Linked DNA regions of Caenorhabditis elegans. The protein of the gene in region 1 interacts with the protein of each later gene in a biochemical or structural test. Each region holds a gene or a part of one and is shown in the gene's direction. Other genes may lie near its edges.

Evidence for each region. The genes of interacting proteins can lie anywhere in the genome.
Region 2: the proteins of pph-5 (region 1) and hsp-90 form a complex in vitro, tested with the Caenorhabditis elegans proteins (one study listed by BioGRID).

Annotation. Positions count from the first base shown.
Region 1 is NC_003283.11:19,188,498-19,193,553, forward strand, and holds the start of pph-5 (Serine/threonine-protein phosphatase 5), read left to right. Parts: upstream 1-2,049; 5' UTR 2,050-2,057; coding exon 2,058-2,181; intron 2,182-2,239; coding exon 2,240-2,487; intron 2,488-3,118; coding exon 3,119-3,298; intron 3,299-3,967; coding exon 3,968-4,210; intron 4,211-5,039; coding exon 5,040-5,056. Other genes in the region: Y39B6A.3 (Iron-sulfur cluster assembly 1 homolog, mitochondrial), read right to left, coding at 843-995, 1,101-1,190, 1,267-1,354, 1,403-1,467.
Region 2 is NC_003283.11:14,684,463-14,689,040, forward strand, and holds hsp-90 (Heat shock protein 90), read left to right. Parts: upstream 1-1,697; 5' UTR 1,698-1,701; coding exon 1,702-1,851; intron 1,852-1,898; coding exon 1,899-2,603; intron 2,604-2,651; coding exon 2,652-3,637; intron 3,638-3,695; coding exon 3,696-3,963; 3' UTR 3,964-4,077; downstream 4,078-4,578. Other genes in the region: C47E8.4 (Protein FAM50 homolog), read right to left, coding at 1-54, 152-222, 272-343, 578-677, 731-860, 907-1,015; C47E8.11 (uncharacterized protein), read left to right, coding at 4,175-4,249, 4,297-4,458. UniProt on the Caenorhabditis elegans protein: Molecular chaperone that promotes the maturation, structural maintenance and proper regulation of specific target proteins involved for instance in cell cycle control and signal transduction. Undergoes a functional cycle that is linked to its ATPase activity.

The DNA of each region.
Region 1 (5,056 bases):
TCGCCGACTACCAATCACAAGACCGGGGTTCGAGACCGCACTGTGGCACAATTTTTTTATTGTGATTTTTAAACGGTTTTCGGATAATTCCACCATGCGGAATCCGAATTTTCAAGTTTTAGAACACAAAAACTACGAGAACATTATGAAAATTGAATTTTAAACTTTAATTTTTTTAAAAATCTAAAATTTGTGAGTTTTTCACATATAAAAAATTAAAATTTAACTTAAAACCGTGATTTCTTATAATTTCCATCGTTTTTCTGAATTTTCGAAAATTGTGTCCAAGTGGTGCAGTGGGATTTTCGCCGACTACCAATCATACCTCCGGGGTTCGAGTCCCCGCTGTGGTAAAAAATTTTTATTTTGATTTTTAAATGGTTTTCGGATAATTCCACCATGCGGAATCCGAATTTTCAAGTTTTAGAACACAAAAACTACGAGAACATGGTGAAAATTGAATTTTAAACTTTAATTTTTTTTAAAATCTAAAATTTGTGAGTTTTTCACATATAAAAATTTAAAATTTAACTTAAAACCGTGATTTCTTATAATTTCCATCGTTTTTCTGAATTTTCAAAAAAATGTGTCCAAGTGGCGCAGTGGGATTTTCGCCGACTACCAATCACACCTCCGGGGTTCGAGCCCCCAGCGTGGTCGAATTTTTTTGTATCTTTTGTATTTTTCTCCAAACAAGTTAATCATGCAAACTTCATATGTTTTTCACCTGAAAATTGCCAAATTTTCTGCACTATATTCAAATTTATTAGCATTTTTTCTAGAATGTACACGTGGAAATCACTACTAAATTATGGTAAATAGCGTAGCAAATCATCATCAAATCAAATACTAAAAGATTCTCCGCATCCACACGTTCCTTTAATATTAGGATTTCGGAAAACGAATTCCGACGATAGCTTATCGGTGACGTAATCCATTTCTGAGCCGAGTAGCGAGAGCTGAGCTTTTGGTTCGATCCACACTTTGATTCCGTCCTGGAAAATGGGAAAAATTGGGGGATTTTTCATCGAAATTAGTGAAAATCCGGGTTTTTTGTGATAAATTTGAGCTAAAAATCCAGATTTTGAGGCAATTTCTACCTGCTCAACTTCCTCGTCAAATTTCTGCTTATCCTTTGCATATTCCAGTGTATATGTTAACCCATTACAGCCTTTTTGTCGAACTCCGATCTGAAAAAATTAAAAATTTCATCATTTCCGGCGGCGCAAAAATCGAAAAATCGAAAAATCGACGGAAAAAACGAACTTTCAACGCATTTGCATCATTCTGTTGAGCCAATAACACGCGTATTCTGCTGACGGCTTCGTTGGTAAGTGTGAGAGCCGCTCTGAAACTTTTTCGGGGTGAAAATTGGCAGATTTCCGGGAAAATTCAGAATTACCTCGTTTGTCGGACTTTTAGCGCGCCTTTTATGACTTTTGCAGTTGCTCCACCGAATTTTGACATCGGAAAATTGAAAATTTAGTCGAAAAATGAGTAAAATAGCGAAAATTCCAGAAATAAAATGAAAAAAAAAAAAAAAGTGACAACGTTGCTCCGAAATCCCGGCCACGCGTGTAGTTTACCGTAAATCCAAACAAGAAATTTTTTGTCAAAATTGCCGAAATCAAGCGATTTTTAAGCTTTTTTTCTGTAAATTTTTTACGAAAATATGAAAAAATCAACGTTTTCATGCTATTATTTATTTTTCCCCTGTAAAAAACCTTTGAAATCATCGAAAAACCCTTAAAATCCAATAAAAACCCAAACACAACGACACTCCGCTCACCTCCCACCGCGTGTTGTTTACCGTAAATCCACACACAAGAGCAATTGTGCAAAAAAAAAAAACCCCGTCCAACCGGAAATTGTCCCAAAATTCTTCATTTTCTATCGATTTTCTTGCATTTTTTGTGTTTTTTGTGAATTTCAGGCTCAACATTTCGAAAAACACGGTTAAATTTTAGGGAAACCGCTCCGAAATTCGGTTTTTTTCGCTAAAAAAAAAGAGAAAAAAAAGAAAAAAAAAAATAAAATCTAAATTTTCAGGCTCCGAAATGGCTGCCACTATAACAGATGACATTGTGGCGACAGTTTTGGAGTCAATTGAGGAAAAGTCGTACGAAGATGAGAAGGAGAAGGCTGGAATGATTAAAGATGAAGCTAATCAGTTTTTTAAGGGTATTTTTTGGAAAAAAACCGATTTTTTGATGAATTTTAAAGTATTTTCCTGCTGCAGATCAAGTGTACGACGTGGCCGCCGACCTCTACTCTGTCGCAATTGAGATTCATCCGACGGCGGTTCTTTACGGAAACCGTGCACAGGCCTATCTGAAGAAAGAGCTCTACGGAAGTGCTCTTGAGGATGCGGACAACGCGATTGCAATTGATCCGTCATATGTGAAGGGATTCTATAGAAGAGCTACCGCCAATATGGCTCTGGGGCGGTTTAAAAAGGCGTTGACCGATTATCAGGCGGTTGTTAAGGTGAAAATTCACTTTTTTTGGGTGTTGAAGAGCGGAAAAAACGGCGGTTTAGAAACTATTTTTCACCCGGTTTAAGAGAAAATTTCGAAAAAATATATCAATTTTCACCTCCAGAAAGTCGGAAAACGCGAAAAATTTGAAATTTTGCTTTTTCAATTTTGGGCGCTGCTAAGACTACAAACTACAAGATTTTGGGCGCTGCTAATTCAATTTTGGGCGCTGCTTAGACTACAAACTACAATATTTTGGGCGCTGCTTAGACTACAAACTACAAGATTTTGGGCGCTGCTAATTCAATTTTGGGCGCTGCTTAGACTACAAACTACAAGTTTTGGGCGCTGCTAATTCAATTTTGGGCGCTGTTAGACTACAAACTACAATATTTTGGGCGCTGCTAATTTAATTTTGGGCGCTGCTTAAACTACAAACTACAAGTTTTGGGCGCTGCTAATTCAATTTTGGGCGCTGCTGACAGCTTTCGGCCGAAAAAATTGAAAAGAAATCGATATTTATGAAAAAAAAAACCAATTTTTATGAGAAAAACGTGATTTTTGATAATTTTTCTCTCAAATTTAGTATAATTTCAAAAATTCCCGTATTTTTCCCCGAAAAAATTTCCATTTTTTTGCAGGTTTGCCCCAACGACAAAGACGCTCGCGCAAAATTCGACGAATGCTCGAAAATCGTCCGCCGACAGAAGTTTGAAGCCGCAATTTCGACGGATCACGACAAGAAAACCGTCGCCGAGACTCTTGATATTAATGCAATGGCTATTGAGGATTCGTATGATGGTCCACGGCTGGAAGATAAAGTACGGGTGGAAAATGGCTGTGAAAATCGATTTTTAGACGGAAAATTGATGTAAAACCGGCAATTTTGACCCCGAAATTCAATTTTCAGAGCGGAAATTGCGATTTTCGGTGGAAAACTGATGTAAAAATCAATTTTTCATAGAAATTTGATCTAAAAAACGGTCCAAAAACATAAATTTTTGTGAAAATCGATCTAAAAATACGTTTTTCAAGGGTAATAGGCCAGAAATTCGAATTTTTTTGCGAAAATTAGTCCAAAAAATCGATTTTTCAAGGGAAAAGTGGTCCTGAAACTATTTTTCATAAAAATTAATTTGAAAATCTATTTTTCACTGCAATTTTAACCCAAAAATCGATTTTTCACAAAAAAAAACTAGCATTTCCGGTCAGAAAACGTGCAAATTTCCAATCTTTTTTGGATTTTCTGGAATTTTCATTAAAAAATTGGTCCAAAAATCTATTTTTCATAGAAATTTAGTCCAAAAGTCAATTTTTCACGAAAAATTCGCCTGAAAATCATTTTTTTTTCATAGAAATTTAGTCTAAAAATCGATTTTCCGCAAAAAATACAGAAAAAAAGTGAATTTTTCGTTAAAAAAAAGCGAAAAATTGAGTTTTTTCCCGTTTTTTCCGTAAAAAACCGCAAAAATGATCAAAATCCTTTTCAGATAACCAAGGAATTCGTGTTGCAACTCATCAAAACGTTCAAAAATCAGCAAAAATTGCACAAAAAGTACGCGTTCAAGATGCTCCTCGAGTTTTATAATTATGTCAAATCACTGCCAACAATGGTTGAAATTACGGTGCCAACTGGCAAGAAATTCACGATTTGCGGTGATGTTCACGGACAATTCTACGATTTGTGCAATATTTTCGAGATTAATGGATATCCATCGGAGACTAATCCATATGTACGGGGAAAGCGCTGAAAAATGAGAGATTTTGACTGAAAATCCGGGAAAATTGAGGAATTTTGAGCTAAAATTCATAAAAATTTCCAATTTTTGACCGAAAATCATGAAAATAGGCAAATTTTGTGATATAATCATGTTTTCTAGTGAAAAACCTCTAAAAATTGAATTTTTTTGCAGAAATTATTGAAATAAGCTCAATAAATCGACATTTTGATTGAAATTCGTGAAAAAATTTCAAACATTAAAACCAAAACAGCTGAAAATTGAGGAATTTTCACCAAAAATGCGGATTTTCAGATAAAAACCCTGAAATGATTTTTTTTTTCAAAGTTTTGGCAGAAGTCATTGAAAAATTCCGAATTTTTAGCAAAAAGCAAAAAAATTGCCAATTTTTGACTTTAAATTTATGAAAAATGCTCGATTTTTTTACTAAAAACCGCCTGAAAGCCAAAATTTTGTCAAAAATCTTGAAAAAGTCGAATTTTCTACAAAAAACCATCAAAATTTCGAAATTTTGACTTAAAAATCAATGCAAAATATTTTTTTTTCACTAAAAAGCTGAAAAATGCTCTTTTTTAATGCTCGAAATTTTGGCTAAAATTCATTTTAAAAAATCCTGATTTTCACCAAAAATTGGCAATTTTTCATCAAAAAACTTGAAAAAATTTCAATTTTTTGCTGAAATTGCAGAAATACCACAAAAATTACCAAATTTTGACTCTAAAAATCACGAAAACACCTAATTTTCACCCCAAAAACCCCCGAAAATGGCCAAATTTTCACTTAAAATATGTGAAAAATGCTCAAAAAATGGCCAAATTTTCAGCTTTTCAACGGTGATTT
Region 2 (4,578 bases), 4.5 Mb from region 1:
TTTTTCTCGGCATCTTGCTTCACACGCCACTCGGCTGCCAATGATTCTTTCTTTCTGAAACCAGACTTATTATTTTTTATTTATTTGTTCACCGGGATGATCTACACCCGCCAAAATTTGAAATGTCGTTGTTTTTTCTTCTAGAACTCACTTTCTCAAGAACTCCTCTCGTTCTTTATCAGGCAGGAAGCTTGTGTCGACAGTTGGGTCCATTCCAACGCGCTGCAAACATTTTTCGCTTTAATTTTTTCTTTTTAATTATTATTCTTACCTTTTTCGGGATAATTGGTGCAGCATCTTCTTCGTCCTCTTCGTCATCAAATGCAAACGATAAAAATCGCTTCTGAAATTAGCAATATTAAAACAGTTTTTCTCGAATGTTCTACAAAAATGTTTTATATCTGCGTTTCCTCACACTCTCACCTGCCCTCAATTTTTCTTTCTCGAAAGTTCTCAAATTTTTAGAAATCTGGTATAAAAGACTCTTTCGACGAGAAATCTCTAGTCAATTGAACTACAACTGCTACCCGAGTCTAGAGCCTACAACCAAATTTCTACAGCAATCCTTCACATTTACCTGGGTATGTTTTGCAACGTGTTCTTCTTTTTCTCGAGCTTCTTGTGAATCTTTAGATTGAGTAGAAGATGATTGGTCTCCCCGGGCCACTTGTAGATCTCTATAAGGTACACATTTTTATTGTGAGGCTCTCCAAAATGTAGAAAATCGAACCTGTTTGAAATTTCGTTTTTCTGAATATTTTTCATATCATCCAATGATACCAAGCCATAGGTTTTAGACTTCACGACTTCTTCGACTGTTTCATAGTTTGCCATGAATTTATTCGTAATTCCGACCCTGCCTGCAAAATTTGTAGTTTTAATAATTAAAAAGGGGTTTCACCATACATTTTTCTTTGTCTTCTTCAAGCTTTCGCAATTGTTGTTCGATATCTTCCTTTTCACGCTCACGTTTCTTTGCCAAATGAATCAAGCGGCCTTCGTCGGCGCGGGACATTTTATTAACTGCAAAAATAAAATAAAAACCAATGAAAGCAATATTTTTCAACGAGTTCAATATTGAGAGTGACATATAGTTTATTTCGGGATTTTATTTAATATAGAATAATAATTTTAGATTTTTTTTTGGTGCAAAAATACCAAAAAAACGTCTTTTCGACGAAGTAATCTGAAAAAAATGAAGAAAAAACAATTCAAACTAAAAACAAGAAAATGTTTGTGGCCTAGTTACCTATTCTGCAAAACTTCGGCCAGGTGCTGAAAACGCGCTCTATTGACAATTTTCGTCGAGAATTTTCCGCCGAAAAGGGCAATTTGAAAACCAACCAATCAAATTGAAAGGCCACGCCCTCCTTCGAGAACATTTCGCATCTTGTTCAAAATTTAGACCTTCAATTACGCCTCAGAGCTCTGATATTCCCAGTTCTTTCGGTTTTCGGGTGAAGATTTTTGGTTTTCCTCTCACTAATATGGCTTTTATGTTAATCACGGATCATTGTTTTTGATTTTTAAAGGTTTTTGAACAATAGTTTTAGGCCTAAAATTAGTTCATTTCTAGATAAGGTTATAATGTGTTTTTAGTTTCGAAATCATTCGCCATGCGTGCTCTTTCATTCATTGAATCGTTATAAAGTTCTATTCAGTTTTTGTTGCTCGATTGTTAATTGATATTTTTCCAGAACCATGTCCGAGAACGCCGAAACCTTCGCATTCCAGGCTGAGATTGCTCAGTTGATGAGCTTGATCATCAACACTTTCTACAGTAACAAGGAAATCTACTTGCGTGAATTGATCTCAAACGCCTCCGATGCTCTTGACAAGATTCGCTACCAGGTTTGTTTTTTCGCTTCTGAGTCAATTTTTTAAAATATCGGTTTTAGGCACTCACCGAGCCATCCGAGCTTGACACTGGAAAGGAATTGTTCATCAAAATTACTCCAAACAAGGAGGAAAAGACCCTTACCATTATGGATACCGGAATCGGAATGACCAAGGCCGATCTTGTCAACAACCTTGGAACCATTGCCAAGTCTGGAACCAAGGCCTTCATGGAGGCTCTTCAAGCTGGAGCTGATATTTCCATGATTGGTCAGTTCGGAGTCGGATTCTACTCTGCTTTCCTTGTCGCCGATAAGGTTGTCGTCACATCCAAGAACAACGATGATGACAGCTATCAATGGGAGTCTTCCGCAGGAGGTTCTTTCGTCGTTCGTCCATTCAATGACCCAGAGGTCACCCGTGGAACGAAGATTGTCATGCACATCAAGGAGGATCAGATTGACTTCCTCGAGGAGCGCAAGATCAAGGAGATCGTTAAGAAGCATTCTCAGTTCATCGGATACCCAATCAAGCTTGTGGTTGAGAAGGAGCGTGAGAAGGAGGTTGAAGATGAGGAGGCTGTCGAGGCTAAGGATGAGGAGAAGAAGGAGGGAGAGGTCGAGAACGTCGCTGACGACGCTGACAAGAAGAAGACCAAGAAAATCAAGGAGAAGTACTTCGAAGACGAAGAGCTTAACAAGACCAAGCCAATCTGGACCAGAAACCCAGACGATATCTCCAACGAAGAATATGCTGAGTTCTACAAGGTATTTTTAGTTTTAATTATTTTATGGCAATAATTCCATTAATTTCAGAGCTTGTCCAATGACTGGGAAGATCATCTTGCCGTCAAGCATTTCTCCGTTGAGGGACAACTTGAATTCCGTGCTCTTCTCTTCGTCCCACAAAGAGCTCCATTTGATCTCTTCGAGAACAAGAAGAGCAAGAACTCCATCAAGCTCTACGTTCGTCGTGTCTTCATCATGGAGAACTGCGAAGAGCTCATGCCAGAATACCTTAACTTCATCAAGGGAGTCGTCGATTCTGAGGATCTTCCACTTAACATCTCTCGTGAAATGCTCCAGCAATCCAAGATCTTGAAGGTCATCCGTAAGAATCTTGTCAAGAAGTGCATGGAGCTTATCGACGAGGTTGCCGAGGACAAAGACAACTTCAAGAAGTTCTACGAGCAATTCGGAAAGAATCTCAAGCTCGGAATCCACGAGGACTCTACTAACCGCAAGAAGCTTTCCGATTTCCTTCGCTACTCTACCTCCGCTGGAGATGAGCCAACTTCCCTCAAGGAATACGTTTCCCGCATGAAGGAGAACCAAACTCAAATCTACTACATCACCGGAGAGTCCAAGGATGTTGTTGCTGCTTCAGCTTTCGTCGAGCGTGTTAAGAGCCGCGGATTCGAAGTCCTCTACATGTGCGACCCAATTGATGAGTACTGCGTCCAACAACTCAAGGAGTATGATGGAAAGAAGCTTGTCTCCGTCACCAAGGAAGGACTCGAGCTCCCAGAAACCGAGGAGGAGAAGAAGAAGTTCGAAGAGGACAAGGTTGCCTACGAAAACCTTTGCAAGGTCATCAAGGACATTTTGGAGAAGAAGGTTGAGAAGGTTGGAGTTTCTAACCGTCTTGTCTCTTCCCCATGCTGCATTGTCACTTCCGAGTACGGATGGTCCGCTAACATGGAGCGCATCATGAAAGCTCAAGCTCTTCGTGATTCCTCTACTATGGGATACATGGCCGCCAAGAAGCATCTCGAAATCAACCCAGACCACGCTATCATGAAGTAAGTTACCCAAAAACTATTTTAAAATGAACATTCACAAACGTTTTTGCTATTTCAGGACACTTCGTGATCGTGTCGAGGTCGATAAGAATGACAAGACCGTTAAGGATTTGGTTGTTCTTCTTTTCGAGACTGCTCTTCTCGCTTCCGGATTCTCCCTTGAGGAGCCACAATCTCACGCTTCCCGCATCTACAGAATGATCAAGCTTGGTCTCGATATCGGAGATGACGAAATTGAAGATTCTGCTGTTCCATCATCGTGCACCGCTGAGGCCAAGATTGAGGGAGCTGAGGAGGATGCTTCCCGCATGGAGGAGGTCGACTAAACATCCTATTTAATTTATCATTTGTTACGAGAAGATCTCCCCAAAAGCCCCTCCACAGTTTTATTCATTGTTTTCCTGTCTATCGAACCCAAATAAAGTTCCGTAATTAATTTCATCAATGTTTTTTTTTGCAAACGTGAACTTTTGAAGAAGCACATTTGAACAGTTTAGATACTCGAGGGAAATTAAACAGTTTTAGTTTATACGAAACATGATTGCAATCTTATTCGAGTTGGCATGTTTCCTGATCTTGGCCAGTGCTGTTTGCTGCATCATTCCAGAACCGGTTTATACATGAGTTGGAGATGAGTTTAATATCTTTTCATGTTTCAGGAAAAGCCATTCAATCCACCTCCACGTCCAAATTTCAATTATAACCTCTGGGATCCTGTCAATGAAGATTTCGAAGGACGCAAGTTGGATGTTCGTTGGTGGAATCCGGAAGAAGAAGATGAAGATGAAATTGTTCCAATCCCACCAAACCTTGCTGTCTAATCTCTCATTTTATTTCTAAAAATAAAAATTTTTCGATAATCGTTTTATGAACATATGCTTATTCTCTTGAAAAATCCGCTTTCCGCGCACGCAAATCTGTTGATGCGTGCTCAAATTGAC